Drosophila melanogaster: one gene and its partners. The gene in region 1 interacts genetically with each later gene. Each region holds a gene or a part of one and is shown on either strand. Other genes may lie near its edges.

The links. Genes that interact genetically often act in the same process or in processes that back each other up.
Region 2: of Liprin-alpha (region 1) and mr, changing one suppresses a phenotype caused by changing the other (phenotypic suppression), as found in Drosophila melanogaster (one study listed by BioGRID).
Region 3: of Liprin-alpha (region 1) and Liprin-gamma, changing one suppresses a phenotype caused by changing the other (phenotypic suppression), as found in Drosophila melanogaster (one study listed by BioGRID).

What each region holds. Positions count from the first base shown.
Region 1 is NT_033779.5:6,720,879-6,728,972, forward strand, and holds the start of Liprin-alpha (Liprin-alpha), read left to right. Parts: upstream 1-3,024; 5' UTR 3,025-3,206; exon of another isoform or gene 3,207-3,299; 5' UTR 3,300-3,515; intron 3,516-3,948; 5' UTR 3,949-3,969; coding exon 3,970-4,218; intron 4,219-4,279; coding exon 4,280-4,381; intron 4,382-4,897; coding exon 4,898-5,251; intron 5,252-5,323; coding exon 5,324-5,425; intron 5,426-5,494; coding exon 5,495-5,662; intron 5,663-5,720; coding exon 5,721-5,840; intron 5,841-6,315; coding exon 6,316-6,456; intron 6,457-6,984; coding exon 6,985-7,902; intron 7,903-7,999; coding exon 8,000-8,094. Other genes in the region: homer, read right to left, coding at 146-253, 310-576, 640-718, 772-1,208, 1,264-1,552, 1,919-1,932.
Region 2 is NT_033778.4:23,970,314-23,976,772, reverse strand, and holds mr (morula), read right to left. Parts: upstream 4,343-6,459; 5' UTR 4,265-4,342; coding exon 4,202-4,264; intron 4,141-4,201; coding exon 3,624-4,140; intron 3,568-3,623; coding exon 3,329-3,567; intron 3,254-3,328; coding exon 3,073-3,253; intron 3,014-3,072; coding exon 2,312-3,013; intron 2,261-2,311; coding exon 1,997-2,260; intron 1,932-1,996; coding exon 1,690-1,931; intron 1,634-1,689; coding exon 1,433-1,633; 3' UTR 1,365-1,432; downstream 1-1,364. Other genes in the region: PPP1R15 (protein phosphatase 1 regulatory subunit 15), read left to right, coding at 1-625, 686-895; CG3065 (uncharacterized protein), read right to left, coding at 4,876-6,078.
Region 3 is NT_033778.4:22,350,845-22,356,569, forward strand, and holds the start of Liprin-gamma (Liprin-gamma), read right to left. Parts: upstream 3,865-5,725; 5' UTR 3,544-3,864; intron 1-3,543.

The DNA.
Region 1 (8,094 bases):
TTCCTGTTGTTGTCGATGATGTCGTTGTAGTATTAATCATTGTAGTCTGTTCCTGCACTGAAACCTGTAAAGAACGCCAATCAACAAGACGAAACTCAAAAGGCAATGTGCCGCAAACCTTTCGCATAAACGCCAACTCTGTGTCTCAAGTGCACTTGGCAATTTGTATAAGACTCTCCATATCCTTCTGCACCCCATACAACTCCGAAAGATGCTTGGCAAACACACCATTCACCTCACTCAACTTTGCAAGCTAAAAACAAAGTTTCATTAGCAAATTACTCAACATGATTATTATGCTTTACCCACCGTTTGGTCATTGGACTTTTCACGTAGGCTAATATTGGCCGACTTAAGCTCAAGTTCCTGTTGCATAAGTTCCTTCTGTAGTTGTTCTGTCCGCGCCTTGAGCGTGGCCACCTCACGACGCAGTTCGTCCTCTGTGGCGCCTCCTCCGGCTGCAGCCACAACCCCGCCGCCCACGCACAGCTGCTCCATATCTCGTTTGAGGCGAATATTCTCCTCCTTGTAAGTGTGCAGCTGGCGCTTCCATTCGTCTACATTGGCAGTTGATTCCTTTGGGAGAAAAAGGCCAAAAACGATCAGTTTCAATAAATGTGAGCTTATCTTATTGCTTACCTGAAGAGCACTAGTCAGCCGTATATTGTTGTTCTTCAAGGTAGCCAGCTCGATTTCCCATTTCTTGGCATTGGCGCAGCTGAAAAGAAGGCATTATTGCCTTGAGCCAATGACGGTCAACGCTTTGCTTACCTTTGTGCCAGTGCCATTTTCAGACGCTCGTTCTCGTACTTAAGCTGCTGCTCGGCGGTGGCGCCGGCTCCAGGACCCGTGTGCATGCCCACAATGCTTCCGCCAGACGAGATGGTCACTCCACCGCCACCAGTTACCCCTGAAGTGGGCTGCGGCGAGGGCGTGGCCGATCCGATGTCCGCCTTGACATCGCTGGTATTTAGAAGCTTGTGGGAAGGACTGTCCGGATTGGCGTTCTGGGTATTCGTGTTGCTCATGTTGGGCGGCTCCACAGTGTGCGGATCGATGGCTGTGTTGTCGTTCTGCATGGAGCCCACAGCTCTCCCGGAAATGGGCGACGTGTTCGCCGAGGTGGTGGGCGTGACGGCATTCGATCCGTTGGCCGATTTCATGGCATTCTTGGTGGCCTCCTTGACCTCCTGGAACTTCTCTACGAACTGTTGAGCGATATGATTAGTATATAAATATGTGAGACATATGCTAACCACTCACCTTGGTCAATTCCGCCTCTGAGGCAAATCCCAAGCCGTACACCGTGTTTGCCCGCACATCGCTCCACTGGCCGAACTTCTGGGAGGTCTGGGTGAAGGTCATGTTGGGTGTGATCGTCGAGTTTATCACCGCCTTGGTGCCCTCGACACTGATGATGCGGTACAGATTTCGCGAGCTGTCGTAGAAGAAGCTAACGTTGACCGCCTTCATGCTGGCCGTGATCCAGGTGCGCTTCGTCTTCGGATCGATGTGGAAGACGTGCGCCTGGCAGGTGAAAATCGGTTGTTCGCTAAGGGTCATAAAGGGATTAAAGCGACAAGCGTGTGATTAATTAAAAATTCCATTTAGAGCAGGCAATAAATTGTGCTTCTGTGCTCGTGTGAGTAAACTATGGCAAAGCATTCTTTTACTGTGGTTTATTAGTCAACAGGCACTGTGTAATGCATTTATAATTAGTAGTCCTTAAGTCCCAGGATAATCCTCGTGGTCCTTATTTGATAAAGTAGGTCGATATATGTTTGTTTTTTGCGATCTGGCCTGATGCAATGACAGTTTGTTGCGGGGCGCAGGGCCCCCATCAAATCAATTCCGTATCCGTGGTAGCCTCCAGTGCCTTTATTTGTACACATATACATATATATATCTTATCTATTACCTATCCGCCGACATCGTTCGCTGAGCTCTATAACTTGTGTCTTCCCGTTATCGCTGGCGACTGTCGACCGCCGACTAAATTGCATTATGTGCTAAGCCTTTTCCGCAGCCTTGCTTGTGATTTTTGATTCTCGGGCGGAAAACACGCACGCACACACCTGCACAGTCACACACACCTGCACACCCACACACATGTAATTGGCCTGCCCACGCGTGTGCGTGTGTAGGTGTATGTTTGTGTACATATATATGTATGTATTTACGCCGCCCGCTACACACAGAACGGCAGCAACAACAACAACATCATAGGGGGGAGATGTCAGCTAGTTCGGCGTCGATTTTTCCCACAGTAAAAACGGCAGGTTTAGGCCGGTTTGGCCGCGCCCATCGGTCTTACCCCATTGTATTCGTTCTTTGGCGCTGACTGAGTGCTTCCGCAGCAGTTTATACCAATGCTAGTCGGTTTTACTTATGAATTTCACGGTTAAAAAAAATAAAACACAAATGTCTAGAGCTGGAACCAAAATCGATGTTTGTATGGTGCTATCGATGTTTTTACTGGCTCAACACCATCGATGATTTATTTATTAGCTTCCAAGCATCGATAACACATGAGCTCGTATAAGAGCAATGATTCTTATCGAATAATTTAATCGCTGTAAAGCGAATTGCAAATTAATTAAGATAAATAAATACTAAATATGTTTGTCTGTAAGGCACCATAACAATGTAATTTTTTCAAAAACATGTGTAGCTGTTGAAGCATTGCATTTAAATGACGGAAGTTACAAAATAATTTCAGATAAAAGTGATAAGTTTTTTTGACTGTCTAGTTGTGCGCCTACATGTAGTTTGAATATTTGTTAGATATGGTTTTCTTTGTGCGGTGTGGCAGCATTAGTTTTAGTACACATTTTTCTAATACTTGACGATAGGTCAAATGGCAACTCCTGATCGGCAATAATATTTGCATATAATTTAGCTTTGAACATAAATAGACTGCCACAAAAACTTTAAAACAACACATTTTACTTCTATATTTTTTGGACGAAATAGAACCACTGAAAAAATTCATGAAATGTAGTACATTTTGTAGTGAAGAACCAGGGTTGGTTTACGGATTTTAGCCGTTTTGCCATCTGGTAACACTGACCAGTTTCTCATCGTTAAAAAATCCATTTGGAATTCGGTTTATTTAATTAAAAGCAGCCGGGACACCTATGCGAAGGGCAAAAAGCGGCCAGAGTTGTTGTTGCTGCTGCTGCCCAGCCGCCGTGCGATCGATCGGGGTACGTGTTCCGGCGTAACGAGGAGTACGAGGCGATTTTCTCGCAGCCTCTTTTTTTTCACACGAACGCCGTCCCACTAAACCGAAATTTCAGGTGAAAAACTCATTGGAACGCATTTAAAAGCGGCGTAAGCTCGCACCTGCTGCTCGTTTAACCCTGTTTCGGGTATATGTGATTGCAAAATGCGACAGCGACACACCTAGGCACACAAAATATGCCAGTTATGCGAAAGAGAAAAAGTACTGTGCCTGTGTGCGTGCGCGTGTGAGTGTGTATGCCGTGCGTGTGCCCCCGCCTGCGACAGTGTGCGTATGTGTTGGTGTAGAAAACTTGTTATCAATGCGGCGCCTATGATAAGTCTCATTAGACATGTTTCTCCCACTATGCTGGGTATTTCAATTGGAATGGCTAGCGAACGTGTGTGTGTGTAGTAAAATATCCGGACTCCATAGAATGGACATTTTGTATGAATTAATTGAATTTACTTTATAAATTCAATTAACATAAAGAATTTGATTTTATGCAGAAGAAGCTACAGCATTAAGTATCTCCCATATGCGGAATCACAGACAAAAATTCAATCACGCCAATTCATTTATGATCAAGGATCAAATTCAAGAAACTTTAGAAAAACGCGTCTAGTTTTTGTGCTTCGGTAACAGCGATAGTGGTACAATCTCCGCACAAAATGTACCTACAGCCAAAATCCTGTAACCTTTATTCCCCTCTCTGTCTCGCACAGTCTGGCGGCCCCAACTAAATAATGTGGAACATGATGTGCGACGTAATGCCCACGATATCCGAGGATAGCATCTCGCAGCGCTCCTCGCAGTTTAGCGGGGAGGATGCCAACTTTGAGCAGCTGATGGTCTCCATGCTGGACGAGCGGGACAAGCTGATGGACAGCCTGAGGGAGGCGCAGGAGCGGCTTAACGAGACGGAGAACAAGCTGCGTGACGTCGAGAAGGAGCGGGACAGCCTGCAGCGACAGATTAACGCTAATCTGCCGCAAGTAAGTGGCCTCTGCATGCTGATACCGCAGTTTACCTAAAATCTTTTCCTGATCTTTCTAGGAGTTTGCCACCCTGACCAAGGAGCTGACGCAAGCGCGGGAGACCCTTTTGGAACGTGACGAGGAGATTGGGGAGCTCAAGGCGGAGAGGAATAATACCAGGGTAAGTGATTTTCGAAAATTTAGATCCTTGGTATTTCAATTACTGAGACAATTGAGTAATGGTTAGATCAGGTAGATCATGACAAGATTTGCTAGACTAATTTATTAATTTAGGTATTATAGCCATTGCTAAATTACATATCCCATTGTTATTCAAACAAGAAACAGTTGTAGGTACTTGCTTTTGCGAATTAGTCACATATACCGGGAACAATACAAAAGTTTACTCTGTCCGTCTTCATTTTTATTTCGAACATGGCTTGTCTATTTGTTTACTTATCAGTGACTATACAAACATTGTTACAGCCTTTTAAGAATTAGTTCTTTGTATTCACATCCGTCTTAAACCATAAAAAGTGAAGTAAACTGTATTTATAAGTCCTTTCCGCTTCATTGAATATCAAGAAAATCAGTTTTAATTAAATTTCTACGGTAATTTTACTTTTAAAGAGACAATTTAAACGTCGGTTACTGCGTGAAATAATATATTTTTAATGATCTAACTTGACTATTTCAGCTTCTCCTCGAACATCTGGAGTGCTTGGTGTCCCGCCACGAGCGTTCCCTGCGTATGACCGTTGTGAAGCGACAGGCTGCCGCCCAGAGCGGCGTCTCCAGCGAGGTGGAAGTGCTCAAGGCGCTAAAGTCGCTGTTCGAGCACCACAAGGCGCTGGACGAGAAGGTGCGCGAGCGGTTGCGGCTTTCCATCGAGAAGAACAACATGATGGAAGAGGAACTCAGCTCTGCCAAGGAGGAACTGGCCCAGTACAAGGCGGGCGTGGTGCCAGCTGGCGTGGGCAGTGGCAGCGGAGCAGGGAGTGCCGCAACCACCGCCGGTGGTGGGGGCGCCGAGAACGGGCTCAAAGAGAAGGTGCGTTCCACATTCGAAATGCAGTCAAGCATGTCCGGTTTAATATATCTCTTCTATTTTCCAATACCCTAGATGGCGGGCGTGGGCGGATCTGGTGGCGTTAATGGCGAGGCAAATGAGCTGAACGACTACGCAGCCAAAACCCACGAGCTGCAAACCATTATTGAGAAGCAGGTGAAGATTGCGGATCTGTTTCCAGTCTGCATATGGTGAACACTTTTTAAAACGCTCTTTCCTTGTCAGACCTCGGAACTTTCACAATGGCAGCGACGCGTTTCTGATTTGAACAACAAGATTAGTGAGCTTGAGGAGAACATGTCGCGAGTGCAAAAGGAACACTGCAAGGCCCAAGACCAGTGTGCCAAGCTGCAGCGGGATCTGCGCGAGAATGTTGCCCAGAAAGAGGATCAGGTGAGTGAATAATACTCACAGCATGGTTTCAGTTTTTTACTTATACGTTCATTTTTAGGAGGAGCGCATTACCACATTGGAAAAGCGATACCTGAATGCTCAGAGGGAGTCTACATCGTTGCATGATCTCAACGAGAAACTCGAGCAGGAACTACGGCATAAAGAGGCGCAGCTCAAGGTGGGTAAAACCAAGGAAATTACAGCTTATGGTTAAGGCAGGCATACATATCTTTACTTTTATTCATGAGGATCGATTTTTTTTTATTATATTTCGATAAGCGCACAGTCCATTTGTTCAAAAAAATCCATTGATTACTCATTACCTTACTGTAAAGTTATTTCCAATTGAATAGCAGATAAATTTTTCATGATCTTACAAGTCAAGCAATTATCGCTAGTATGCTAGAGTAATGAAATAAAATTAGCAGCGAAATCTAGTTCGTATAGCATCTGTGATATTTTGTAAAAAATCGATCCACTCTGTTTCTAATTGTGCCCTAGCCTGCTCTTTCATTAAGCTCCCCTTAAGCGTGACTAATCAATTGCATTTACATACGCAACTATTCCCCCCGACAACTAATCGAACAAACACCCGCCCCAAATACGAACCACAACCAATCCATGCCATATGATCAATGCCGAATCCGAATCAGCTGCACGAGGAGAAGATCGGGGCCATCGAGGAGAAGCTGGAGCTCTCCGAACAGAAGCTCGCCCAGCACGCCAAGCTGCAGCCCGACATGGAAGAGCAGCTAAAGGCACGCATGGAGGCATTGACTAAGGTAGGAAACAAGGTATGCACTCGAACTAATATGCGCGCCGGACAGGTTCCATATGACAAGTATCAACAACAAATATTATCCCTTACAACTTCTACTCTGTTTTGTGTAATGTTCTTATCTTTTGCGTATTTTCTGCCACAAGAAACCACCAACAACTTCAACAACAACTCAGTTTCTATGTACTATACCTACTATTTCTATCTTTGTACTGCACCAGAACTTTCTACTCTAACGCACCCGAAACCAAATCAAAATCAGACCTAACAATTCTCTCAGTATACCAATTACGAAGGTTTCCAATATCTCATATAATGTGGTTATATTTGGTAGATATCAATTCACGACATTATACATTGTCAGCATTTATTTCTTATGTTTTAATGTATTTGGATTGCAATGGGTACCTAAGTGTAGTTGGTATACAAGAGAATATACTCACTATTAGCTTTCATTACTAAAACCAGAACTAACATTTTCCTCCGCCACTGATTAAACCGTGTGGACAAGTTCATTAAACTCGCTGGCTGAAACCATTTGCAGGCTCAAGAAAGACACGGTTCTGCAGAAGACCGCATCCGGGGACTGGAGACGAACCTCGACGAGAAGACCAACGAGGTGGTAAGACTGAACCAGCGTCTGAAGATGAACGAGGAGCACAACCTACGGCTTTCCTCCACGGTGGATAAGCTGCTCTCGGAGTCAAACGAGCGTCTGCAAGTGCACCTGAAGGAGCGTATGCATGCGCTGGACGAGAAGAACGCCCTCACCCAGGAACTGGAAAAGGCGCGTAAGGTGGCCGAGGAGCTACACCACGAGAAGAGCGAAATCATGAAGGAGCTTTCGAAGACGCGCCTGGAGATCGAGAACTTTAAGCGGCAGCTGCTGCAGCAGGAGATCGCCTACAACATCCAGCAAACGGAGGCGCTCACGCGGAGCCTTTCGCCCAGTAGCGTAGTGGACCCCAGTGGCGCCTTCAGCCGGAGCAATTCGCACGCCAGCTTTGAGACGCACTCCCTGCGCCGCCAGAGCAAACAGCGACTGTCCGAGGAGAACGCCCTGGTCCGCTCCATGGCCGAGCAGGAATGGGAAAAACTGCAGCAGGCGGCGCATGCCCAGCAGCAGGCCTACGAGCTGGCCAGCGCTGCGGATTGCGATGACTCTGATGTCCTGTACGCAGCGGCCACCGACATGATGTCTCCTTCGGGACACACAGATGCCCAGACATTGGCCATGATGCTGCAGGAACAGTTGGACGCCATTAACAATGAGATTCGCCTGATCCAGGAGGAAAAGCAGTCAACAGAGGCGCGGGCCGAGGAGCTGGAGTCGCGTGTCGGCAGTCTGGAGCACGTAAACCTGCTGGCTCGCGGTCGCTCCATGGACAGGCAGAGTCCGCCAATGAGTGGCCGGAGCACGCCCAACAGTCCGCAGCGGGATTTCATGCAGAAGTATCACACGGTAAGTGGCTTACGATATTTAAGTTAAGGGGAATATCATAATCGAAAAAATTAAGAATAACATTAATGACGCTTTAAACTTTTGCCTTCATTAACAGCTCAACTTGCCCGTGCTGTCCAGCGATGCCTCTCGCGAAGAGCTCCACGGCGGCATGTCCACCACAGGTGATTCGAGTTCCGGCGGAGCGGCCTC
Region 2 (6,459 bases), on another chromosome or scaffold:
CCTCTCCGCTGGATCACGTACACTGTGGAAGCCAAACAAGGTGCATCAGGAGGCACCCGAGGTCAAACCGCTCGAAGTCCCCGAGGATTTGCGGATCCCAACCCTGCAGCCAGACCCCCTGAATCCGCTGGCCACCATGATGTCTTTCAAGCTAATGGCTATGGACGTAGTAACTCAAATGCAGACCGCCCTGCACAAGTGCGTCAACGCCCAGAGTCCGCCGGGCGCCAAGATGGCGGGAATCGAGTTGGACGCCTTGCGGCGTTGCGTACCGTCCTCGTGCTACTTCTTTATTGACCTGCATCCGCACCACGGCTTTAAGGATACCGCGGAGGATTGCCCTACTAGTCAAGCCTCCAGTGACCGGAATAACAACGCTGGCTGTTCGCAAGGATCGGCTGCCAAGAGCTCCTGGCAGCGGCAGCGTAGTATTTCCGAGTGCAGTGAGGACAGCTTCATTTGCTTTGAGGACGACGCAGAGCAGGCGGATGAGGATGTCGAGGAAGACGAGGATGATGATGACGACGACAGCAGCGTGCAGTTTACAGCATGCGGTGAGGATGAAAATACCGAGGAGCTAAAGGCCTGCCAGTGCAGCGACGACAGCTCGACTCCTGTCAAGAAGGTGAAGAATATTTTTGCGCGGCATAAGTGGGCATATCTAATTTCCTATTTATGCGCACAGGTTCGTTTCAACATGAAACCCGAAGTTCACGTAATGCTCGCCTGGGACTACGCTTATCGGGCTGCCAGAAAGAGCGAATGGCAGGTAATGGCGCGAGATCGGGATCGCTTTCAGCAGCGGATTCGGCGGATTTCACCCATTCTCAATGCCGTCCTGACTCCAGTTCACCGAGATCGTGTCTACCAAGCTCGATTCTTGCACGAGGACTAGCTGGTCCGCATACCTGAAGTAACTTTTGATGTACAGATTACAGTTTAGAACGATTACAGCATTAAATTCCAAGTTGTTTGCGTGTATAAAGTGATCGATTTAGCCACTGCGTTCGTGATTGATTTTATGAAGCCAAAAACTGTTTAACCTGTAAAGTATATCAAAACCACGTACACTTTTCTTCGCCTTTAGTTTTAGAGCCCTAAGAAGTTTGAATTTGTTGATAACGGGATTAGCATATACCTTAATATAACTTGAAATAAATTAAGCAATAGACGTATTTTACTGTGTGTTCTTCTTTTCACATAAGATTGCTTGCATTGTGTTCCAAATTCCCAAGCCAAACAAGTTTGGGTAAAGACTTTGTGTGTACGTGGGTGAGAGATAAGCTCTGAATAGAAACAGATAAGACGGCAGTTTGAAAAAATAGGTACGTTTAACATGGAGCAGTAAATTTCATAAATGTTATCGCGTTAATTCATTATTTATTTCATGATTCCTTCAGTCGTTTGCAACTTGGTTTTGGATCTCCGAAACTTATTTGGCCAATTGGTAAACTCCACCCGAGAATATTAGCTTGTGCTCCCTGACTTTTCGCTGGAGAAAGTGTTTCAGCTCATCCTGAGTAAACTCCACTCCGCCGCTGTGGGAGGCGAACAGCTTCAGCATCTGGTGGATTCGGTCAATTGGCATGGAGTCAAGATTCGTGAGCATTCCAACAATATAGGACCAAAAAACCTGCGGCATAATTGTATAAGAAAAAGCCGGAATTAGGAACAGTTGAAGGCACTTACTTGGAGTTCTTCTTCCCTTTGATCGCTGGCAGAAGCCATTGCGGATTCCAAATCCTCTTCGTCAGCTTCTGCCAGACTCATGTCCTCGTACTGAGACTTCTCCGATTCCTTTTCCAGCAGCGTGAATATTCCGGGTGTCGTTTCCGAGATCAATCCGTGGTTTTGCCAAAAACTCAGACGACGCCGCAGTGCAGACGCTGGAACTTTCGTAATGGAACTAAGATCCTCGATAGTCCATTCATCTGAAAAAAAAATATGACCATGCGGTTGTAAAACTGTAAAACTTGACTGCCCTGTAAACACGTACTCTTAGTTTGAAAGTGGTATATAATAACCGCCAAAATGGGGCTCACAACCATTTCCATGGTCCGGTCACCGATCTCGATTTCAATATTTACACGGCCAGTCACTGTACGCCAGTTGAGCGTACGGTTGCCCTTGTATGCCTCGTAGGCCTTGGTGTACTTCTTGAACTCATTCTCAATCTCCTCAGGAAGTTGGAGGCTTTCTTTATTGAAGGACGGCCAAAACTGAGCAGAAACAATCAGCGAGGAGATGTCGAACAACTGATCTAAAATGAGATGGTTTCGTTAAAGCATTTTGAAAATTAAAAGTAACTCACTTTCAGTTCGGTCGCCATCGCTGTGGATGTGCGCGTTAATTCGCTTGGAGTCGGTTACGTCTTTCAACATCACCTCGCAGCTGTGCAGCAGCGATTCGCCAAAGCGGATTTTCAGCAGTTCCAGATTTCGAATTTCTTTTTCGGAATTAAAATCTAACTGGGCCAGCAGTCTGTCCGCCATTAGATTGCGATACTCTGTCATAAACAACTCCTTACTGCCGTATATGTCTACAACCATCGATATAATGTCGGCCGATCTCATCTTCCGCGAGCTGTTGTACTGCATAATGCTGGCATCTATACCAAACGGATCGGGTTGCCAATTTTCCCAGTTGCTGAACTCATCGGTACCCGAGTCCTTGCATTCCTTAATTGTTTCTCCCTTGGCGAGTTCCTCGGATAAGTCCGTGGGCCCCTCTTCAGTCAACCCAGTGACTACGCGTCGCACTGTGTCGTTTCGTTTCCGCAGGTAATCTTTGATTGGAGCAGTTACCATCTCTAAGATGACTCCGGTACTATCCAGATGGCGAATAGCTTTGATGGCTGCCACGTAACCCGTTAATATGTCCATGGTGTTGACTCCAGGATGCAGAATCCTTGCCTCTAGCGAGTTCCTAAGGGATTCAGTGAGGTAGACTCGCATATCTATTTTCTCCATGCAAATCTTTAAGTCATCTATAGCCGGAATGGAATCGGGATAGTCTGTTTACAAATAAATACATGTAGTTGGGGGACTCTTGGCTGAATCTACGGGCACATACCAATTATAATGCTGAAGAACTGACCAATAACGCTTTGGGCAAACGTTTCGTACATAAAGTAAGTCAGTTTGACTTTGAAGGATTTTACAGACTCGGGAACTTCGATATCGCTTATGCTATCCTTAGACTTCCATTCCGTGAATATGTTTGTGAGCCAGGACATTATGACATCCGATAGCCACTGCAAAGGTAGGTAATAAATGAGTTACTTAAGTAGTTTATTTATGACAACAGAAGGTATTCCCATTCAACTTACAGTTTCCAGTTGCTTAAGATGACTTCTGTCGAAGATTCCCATGCATGTATCGCTGATGTGCTCCTTGATTTTAAGCTTGATGAGAGCGGTTAAAGCACTCCCAGTTAGACGGTCAATGAGGTTCATCTCGAAGAGCTTCATGTTTGTCTTGTTAACCATATCCGTCAGCCTTTGGCAGCAGCATTGCTCTGCTTCGAAGTTGCAGCCAACGCAGAGGAGCTCATCGAAAACATCAGAGTCTGAAGGGGAAAGCAAGTGAGCATGGGAACCACAGGAGTATGTATCGGATACATACCAACTGTGGTCAATGCGAGATTTGAGGCCTTGGTGAAGAGCTTAAAGTGCACCCAGTAGAAGGCCCCAACGACCACACTGAAATTGGGTGGCAGTTGAGCCAGCAAGCAGTCCCTTAAGCAGTTCTTAATGCCTTCCTCCTGCATGAGCTTCACCGTCTTTGCGGTGGGCTTTGTCTCAGCTCCAACTAGCTGGATCAGCCTGGGCTTCACCTGCATCAGGCTCTGAAAGCTGTCATGCAGCTCATTGATGGCGTCGATGAACTGGGTGAACAGTCCGTTCTTATCGGGCAGTGCTTCTATGGCCAGAGCTTGGTCGTTAATCCAGCCCTGCAATTTAGACGAGACCAAGCCGTCGTGGATGTGCTTCCAGAACTTGGGCACCAGGACATTCCGAATAGTCGACTGGATTTCCAGGTCCACAACCGCCGCGAAGGTGTCTATGCTGCCCAACACCATCAGGTGCTGGCGAACATTTTGGAATACATTCTCCTCAACCGGATCATTGGATACAGCGTTCTGTAAGAGTTTCTGAGTGCTAGCGCCAATCCCTATTACTGAACCGAAGGAATAAACCTACCGCTCCACCCAAAACCGGAAAGATTCTCAGTACATCCGCCCACAAAGCGTCAAAGTCGCACATCGCTTGTGTGTAATTATTTTAAACAGTGCAAAACATTGCTTGAAACTCTGAATCAAACGCCAATGGTGATGATAATGCTGTTATCGATAAGTCGATTCTATCAACCGAACCGATAGTCGATGAATCTTTGATTTATCAGAAATTATACATATATCTATTATTCATTCTTATAGGCCATTATTAATCATATTCCAAATTTCAAACTGGATCGAGTCCTGATCCTGATGAACTATCAGTTCCCCATCAATTAGCCCATAAATATAAATAACAGTTTTACTAAAATAAATTATATTAATAGATACGGGGAGCTTAGTAGCCAGAAAATAAGAAACAGCAAGAGTTTCAGAAATACAGATGTATGTCTTCACGTTCCGGCAAACACAAACAGTTAGAGCTAAAATTAAATTGCATACGACTTATTTACATACATACATACAAATTGAGATTTGAGAGCCGGCGCTGATCTTGCATAGGAATATAGTTAGATTGCGAATTTATTTAATTTTATTGTACTGTGTGCGTCACCCGACACACGCCCGTGTGGTAGCCAATATCGATTGGATGCGGATGCCAATGGCTAGCGACTTAAGGAGTAAGGAGTAACTATGAAACTATCGTATCTTCAAATGCGTCTGCTGATGCTTTTTCAAGTGGTCGCTCCGCACAAACCGGCGACAGCACTGCTGACAGGCGTAGGGCTTCTCCCCGGTGTGCGTTCGTATGTGTCGGTTGAGGTCGTCCTGCCGCTTGAACCGCTTCTCACACTGCCGGCAGTAGAAAGGCCGATCCTGAACGAACTGGGGCATCCCATACGTGCCGGGTCCGTCCGCCGGCGGTAGCTGAGAGAGGGTATTTACAATTTCTTCGGTCGGTTCGTATTTTACCTCGGGCTTCGCCTGGTTAAGGAAATCGGGCAACTGGCTCTGGTTGTGGCCATGGTTATCCATCTGGTGTTCAGGAGATACGATCTGGTACTTGTCGCTGTGCTCCGGCCGTTCCAGCTTAATCTTTATCGGCTTGTGGTGGATGTCGATAATGCTCACGGGCTGCTGGTGCTGGTTATGCTGCTGCTGCTGGTGGTGGTGCTTCATGCTCGGCTCCCCGCAACCAACCATGGCGGCCATGAAGTGGAAGCCCGAGTCCGACTCCGAATGAATCTGCTTCTTCGGGGGCTTGAGCCGGACTCCACCACTGCTGCTCGGTACTGTTCGCTTCGGGGTGCTGCCCTTTAGCTGGCGGTCGTGGGTAGCTAGGTGCTTGGTGAGGTGGTCGCTGCGGGAAAACTTCTTGGTGCACTGGATGCACTCGAAGGGCTTCTCGCCGGTGTGCGTCCGGAGGTGCCGGTTGAGCTCATCGGAGCGCGTGAATCCCTTGCCGCACTTGGGCTCGCTGCAGACGAAGGGCTTGATGCCCGTGTGCCAGGTGAGGTGGGACCGCAGGTGGGAGCTCTTGCCGTAGCTCTTTGTACAGTTGTCATACGGGCAGACGAACTTGCGCTTGGGATCGGAGGCGAGCGTCGTGGCCATTAGCTTCACACTGGGCATTATGCGGATCTTAGAGTTGCCGTTCCCGCCGTAGTGCGAGTCGTCCTCAGGCTCAGTCTCAACTCCGTGATGGGGCACATTCTCCACATTCGCCTCGTCGTGCTTGACGTCCTCGAAAATCGTCGAGGCCCGCAGTATCATATCGGACGCCTGCTCGTGTATGTTTGCGCCGCTCATCGTGGGAAACGCTGGTGGTGGTTTCATGGGTTCTATGGGCGTTGATGTCGTCAGCATTTGGGGTGTGGGCGTGTTTGGTATTACTTGTGACATTGTGCTTACGTTTGGGGCTCGCTAGCGCCCTATCCGGTATGTCTGGAATCGAGAGTGGAGGTACTTTACTGCCAGCTGCGCGCCTACCGCTCCCTAATTACCAAAATTGCGTTTATCCAAAACTACACTCCTGTACAGGAAACTGTGTTCAGTGGGCGTCGGCCTAGGATTTATCAGTTCTGTGGTCCCTTGTCACCATAGCCAGCTCGGAAAACGGTCTATAGTCGGTCCTGGCGTCCCGCACACATTTTCCAATTGTTTTCGGCTAGCGCGCTTGCATATTCCAGCGGATTTGCTTATTTTACTTTATTTTATTTATATACTGAAGTATATCCATTTAATTGCGATGAGAATTATCGACTAGTCGATAGGACCAAGAGA
Region 3 (5,725 bases), on another chromosome or scaffold:
GTACCCATCAACAGAGACGTGGAATGTGCGTTCTTCCAGGAAACTTTTAACAACCAAATATAGCTGCGGCGGGAACAGCCTCTTCGCTTTGTACAGGAGCCCAGGGTGCCAGACTCTGTCAAATGCCTGTTGAATATCAAGAAAGGCACCTACTGCATACTCCTTGTTTTCCATAGCTTCCAGAGCAAAGTTCACTACTCTATGTAGTTGCTCAGGAGTACCGTGCTGCAACCGGAAGCCAAACTGAAATTTGGGAATCGCTTTGGTAACATCCTTGCATGTGAGCAGCCTGTTTAGGATCAGCCTCTCCATAATTTTACCCAGAGATGGGAGTAAGCTGATGGGCCTGTACGAGTCAACGTCTGTCGGTGTTTTTCCAGTCTTATGGATCATAATTATGCTCGCCGATTTCCAAGCTTTCGGAAAGTAGCCAACATCAAGAACGCTGTTGAATATTAAGACAAGGAACTGCAATGCTTGATCTGGGAGAAGTCTAATGGTTCTATTATCAAGAAGATCTTCTCCAGGAGCTTTCTTAAGTGGCAGCTTGGCTATTAAATTCTTCACTTCTTCCAGTGTGACAGCACTCGGAGGCAGGCTCATTTGAAAGGGCGATTCCAAGTATCCATGTGTGTGCGTCTGTGGCTTTCGTTCTTAAAATGGGAGGTAAAATATTTGAAATTTATTGCCGTTGCCTTTGATTCAATGCACACATTTATTAATTTATCATTCCATGAGCCGGAGCTCAGGCTCTAAATAAATCAAAGGCTTGAGATGGAAAAGATTTAAATGAATTGGCCGAACAAATGGCCAATAAGTTTTGGCATATCGATTGAATGTCGGCCTACAGAATGCATGCAAATTAATGCAGTATTTTGTGCTGAGCAAAACCATTCGAACCGACTTGATTGCACAAACCACAGACCAACGAGCACACCCCAAAGTGCCATAATGTCAATGCCCGCCCTAGGGCGCCACAACTCGGTGACAATTGACATTGGCAGTGACAGTGACTGTGACAGTGGCGAACGGAGAAATTCAATGAAAATTAATAAGTTGAATTAACAGATTCACGCCGCGAGCAGCCATCGAAATCCAATCCGCCGCACACGCCAAGTGGGAATTTAATGGCTCAGTGCCCTCAATGCCAAATGAGTGAGTGACTGGTCATCCTGTCCGTCCTGACATCCATCATTAAGGTCCTGCCCATCTCAACTCGACTCGCTGAGCTGGCTCAGCTGGCTGAGCCTGGATGCCGTCTGCTAGCCAGCATTCAATTCGATTACCTGCAAGCGAACACTTTATTTCCGAAAGGCTAACTTCATTGACCGTACATATCCTGCTGTGTGACTCATAACATGATGACTAAACCCAGCCATTCACTTGAGGGGAATGTCAGAGAGCGAAATTGCATTGACCTCCTTTAAAAACCCTTCAAACGCAATTTTAGTTGAATTAAAAATGAACGTATAAAGTTACTTAAATAGGTGTCTAAACGTATGCAGTTTAAATAGAATGCTGAGTATTTCCATTCACATATTTGTGAACTTTCGACTCGAAAGTTAGAATTTTTTCCAATATTTTTCCCTTTTCGGGCTAGAAAGTTTTCACTGCGCTGACCGTTTTACACTTGCTTTTAGCCCTAATTTCCTGTATGACTCGATGGTTTCGCCCCCCTTTCTCAGCCAGAAAACTTCAATGGAGCGAGAATGGAATGTGTGGGAGCTGCACAAATTACAATTTGAGCCAGGGCTCCTTCTCGGGGAGAAGGGGAGCCACATAAACCAATCTCCGCCCCTGTTCTTTGCCAAGCGATTTCGCTGCAATCTACATCGCCAGTAGAATGCTGCTCCTCCTTCGGCCGCAAAACTGACAGCAATCAGCTTTGCTGTGGATAAAGTTTTATGCCGAGAAACTCATTTAGTTTGCAATTAATTAGTGGCAGCCGGCAGAGCAGAGTTGAATTTGTGTTTTTAATTTGACTAAATAGATGCACCACTACCGAACGTTGGAGAGCTTGCACAACACGGCGAATGGTGGTGGGGCGTGGTGAGTGGGGCGTGCAGGATGGGGGCGTGACGAAGTAGCATAGTTCTGACTGAGTTTTTCGCTAGGCGTGAAATGTAAATGCTTGACCCAATTGGCAGGGGGCGTCTAAAGGGAAACACAACGAAAAACAACCAACCGCCGACAACAAAATCATTTAAAATGTTTTCCAACCGGGGAAACGGCGAGCGCTAAAACTTTTTCTACGGCGCTTTTGGCGAAGACAACTTGAACACAATTTGATAACCTACATTTGGGGGTCTTGGTAACATTAAAAATTTACACATGACGGCGTGGCCGGGGCGTTGGGGGTTTTGGCCTTACTCGCAGTGCAAAAGTGGAACGGAGTGTTTTCTCAGCGTCCTTGAGCTCTTGTTTTTTATTTGGTATTAAGAGCATGTCAAGTGAGTCTGGCGAACACAGAGGCTGAGGCAGCATGGCTAAGTGAGTTTTCGTTGTTGCTCCTTGTCACAGGAAACGGATGTGTGTGTGTGTGTGTGTGTGTGTGTGCGTGGTTTGGCTTGAAGCGAGAGGGGAAATTGTGGCGGGGGAGGGGGCTGGAGTAGACCGTCCCCGGAGGTGGGTAGCAAAAGTCTTTAAGTCTTTCGGCTTAATAGCTTTCAGTTTGCGACTTTCCTGGTCACAGCCCGACCCGATTCTGGTTGCTTACCCCTTCTATTGTCCCAAATCCCCATCATCATTTCAACCCCCTTCCTGGGTGCCGTGAGTTATTGTCGTGCGATTTATTACGCGACGCACTGTTGGTAGCCTTTGCTGCCTTCGGAGGGGGCCCACATGGCGTATGCGTAACGTATGGTCGTGGTAAAAACTCACGTAATATGCAACATTTACCGCCCGCGGTTCTCCGCCGGTTCCTTTTGATTTATTCAGCCAGGTGGCATACTTTTGACCCATATGGCTTTGATTTCTTGAAAAACTCAAAACCACCAAACATACCACTACCAAGTTAAAGTTATTACTAAAAGTGCAGTCACAGCTCCTTTGATATATGTCAGAAGTAAGCCTATTTCGTTTACGAAATGGTTTCTGCATTTTCTCTCTGTGCAGGTAAATATGATTTTCGTGTCTGGCAGCAATTACTGATGTTGTCATTAGTAAGAACACCACTCGGAAATTAATAAAGATTTGCACAGGCGCAAATCGGTTTAAAAATGCGTGCAAACACTTTGATTATTCATTCACAAAACCCAAGCGGCCCGAAATTCCCAAATGAGATAGTGCGTAATTCGCGACTGACACAGATTTTTCCCTATTTGGCTGTTCGCTGGTTTTCCTTTATATTTGCGCACAGAAACAACAACAAACAGAGTGACACACAAGTTCCAAAAAATTTCCCTACTCCACGCACACTCGCACAAATATTGACCGAATTTTACTGGCGGTGGTTTTTCCCCCCCAAAAATTCGATTGTTCTCCGCAGTGTTTTTCTTGTTTTCGGCGATGCTGTGTCTGTCTGTTTGTTTTCGAAAAATTTACCTCGGATTCTGACTGAAAAAACAAGAAGGCCACATACCACGTGGCCAACAGTTGAAGTCAATGTTGGTTCTTTTATTTTCGTTTTTTTTTTATTTGGTTTTTCTGGCTTTCTAATTTGTTAGACACGCTTTGGTTGAAAGTTTTTTCGGCTATGCTCTTGTTGATTTTGATTGAAACACACACGCACACCAGCACACACTCTCCGCGAAGAGAGCAGGACAGAAAGAGAGAACGAGAGCGAGACCGAAGGATATGTGGGGAATAATTCAATTCTGGCGCTTGGAACGTCTCACTGGGCGAATCACTCGAATGGCACTGAGCTCGAGTCCTTGGCATTTGGCCCGAGTGCCGTTTTGGCGGCGTCCATGTGACGTCACGAAAGCTTAGGCACAGCGAGATGGGAAAAAGGATACAAGAGCGCCCATGCGCATTGGCGAAAGCTCGCAATCGCTGGAGAAATAGCCACCAGGGATCTCTCGAAAACCCGACCTAGCCTTGCCTTGGACAAGTGTTTGTTTACGTTTTCCATCCGAACGTCCCGCAAGAATCCTTTCGAATCCTTGTTGCTCCTCCGCTCCCAAAAACGAAGGTCAAGCTCTGGCTCTGAATCGCAACGACACCACCTCCGTTTTCAATTAATCAGCAATATAAATTGTACTTTGTTTGGACGCCACAATACATTTTCCCCGCAATTTAACTTGGACGAAACAATTTACAGACTGTGTGGTTGGGCCACACAGCCCGATTTTACTCTAATGAAATATCTCAAGACCAAAAATGTCAGTGGTTGCAACTGTTTGCGACAGGCGGGGAGTTACTATTTCAAAATATGAAAAGCCTCAAAACAATAAATGAGGATGAAGTGGGTAAATGTGGGGATGTTGCGCACTTTGAGGTTGCCAACGACAACTGCAGTCTGCATGCTTTCCTACTAATTGTAAAACAATCTGACTGTACACTATCATTTGCGGCAAAAATTGACAAAGGAATCGAAAGTATGTGAGTATTGCACTCAAAGCTGAACATGTATAATATGATCCCGACAGCAAATGCTCAAATTATTGTGAAAAGATTTAATGAACACGTGCAAAATATTTCAGCCAAAGAAATCGCATCGCCTCATCTATGAAAATTGATATTATTGTTCTCTCAATGTGATTGTAACGAAAATGGCATTTTCATTTAAAGTCTAAATGGTTTAATTGAGTTTGAAAGGGCTTAACAATTCTGACAGCTGTGATAAAAGTGGCTTTCTGATTCAGCTTTGCAGTTACATTTAACTGGAAACATTGATTCATAACTGAGTTTCATATTAAAGTGTTATTTTTTTGCCTCTTCTGCAATCCTTTCAATTACTACCTTTCGATTGGCTTGATAAACAAACCTATTTTCCCGCATCGCAACTATGCAATTCAAAGCGGAATCGATTGCCATATCAACGCGTAAGGGTGGAGTAATCCGAATGAGAGCCATTGCAGTGCATTATCCTGAGCTCACAGGACTTGAACCGGATAAATCCCTTTACCGCTCCGTGCCAGAGAGTGTAGTGTCATTCATAAGCACAAGTGGCAGACGTGACTAGCCGCAGCCACGTAGAGGGCTTTGCACCTGACTGAATCGGTCCGATATATCCTATATACATCCTCCTGCCATACCCCTCCCACCCTTCGAACCCTTCGCATCCGCAAACTCATGGACACGGCCACTGTTTGTCTTTATTTTGACTGACAATCATTGTGGTTGCCATCTGTCTGCCTGCGGAAATGTGAAGTGCAGCCATGAGATAACCGCCATCATCTGATGCTAATAAAATGTTATCAAATGAATGTCAAGCGGCTGCTGAGCCCATCCTGCTGCCTTTTTTGTGGCTCTCCTGGCAGACGCCGCCATCGGTGCCAGGATATGTGTATCTGATATCCCGAACAATGGCGGCAGAACAAACGCACACACGGAGGCGCATCGATTACGGTGCTAGTTCATTCAACTCGGCTCCTCCATCGGAAAAGGCCTAGGATATATGGCAAAACTCCGACTCCCTCGACAAAGTCAAGACAGAAGACTTCCCGCCGAGAAGAGGCGGCGGGAGCAGCACTATCTGCCACAGGTGACGCGTGAAAAATTCCACAAGCCATGGAAGCCGAAGGAAACGTCTCTGCCATGCAATTCTTCCCTTTTGTCGTAA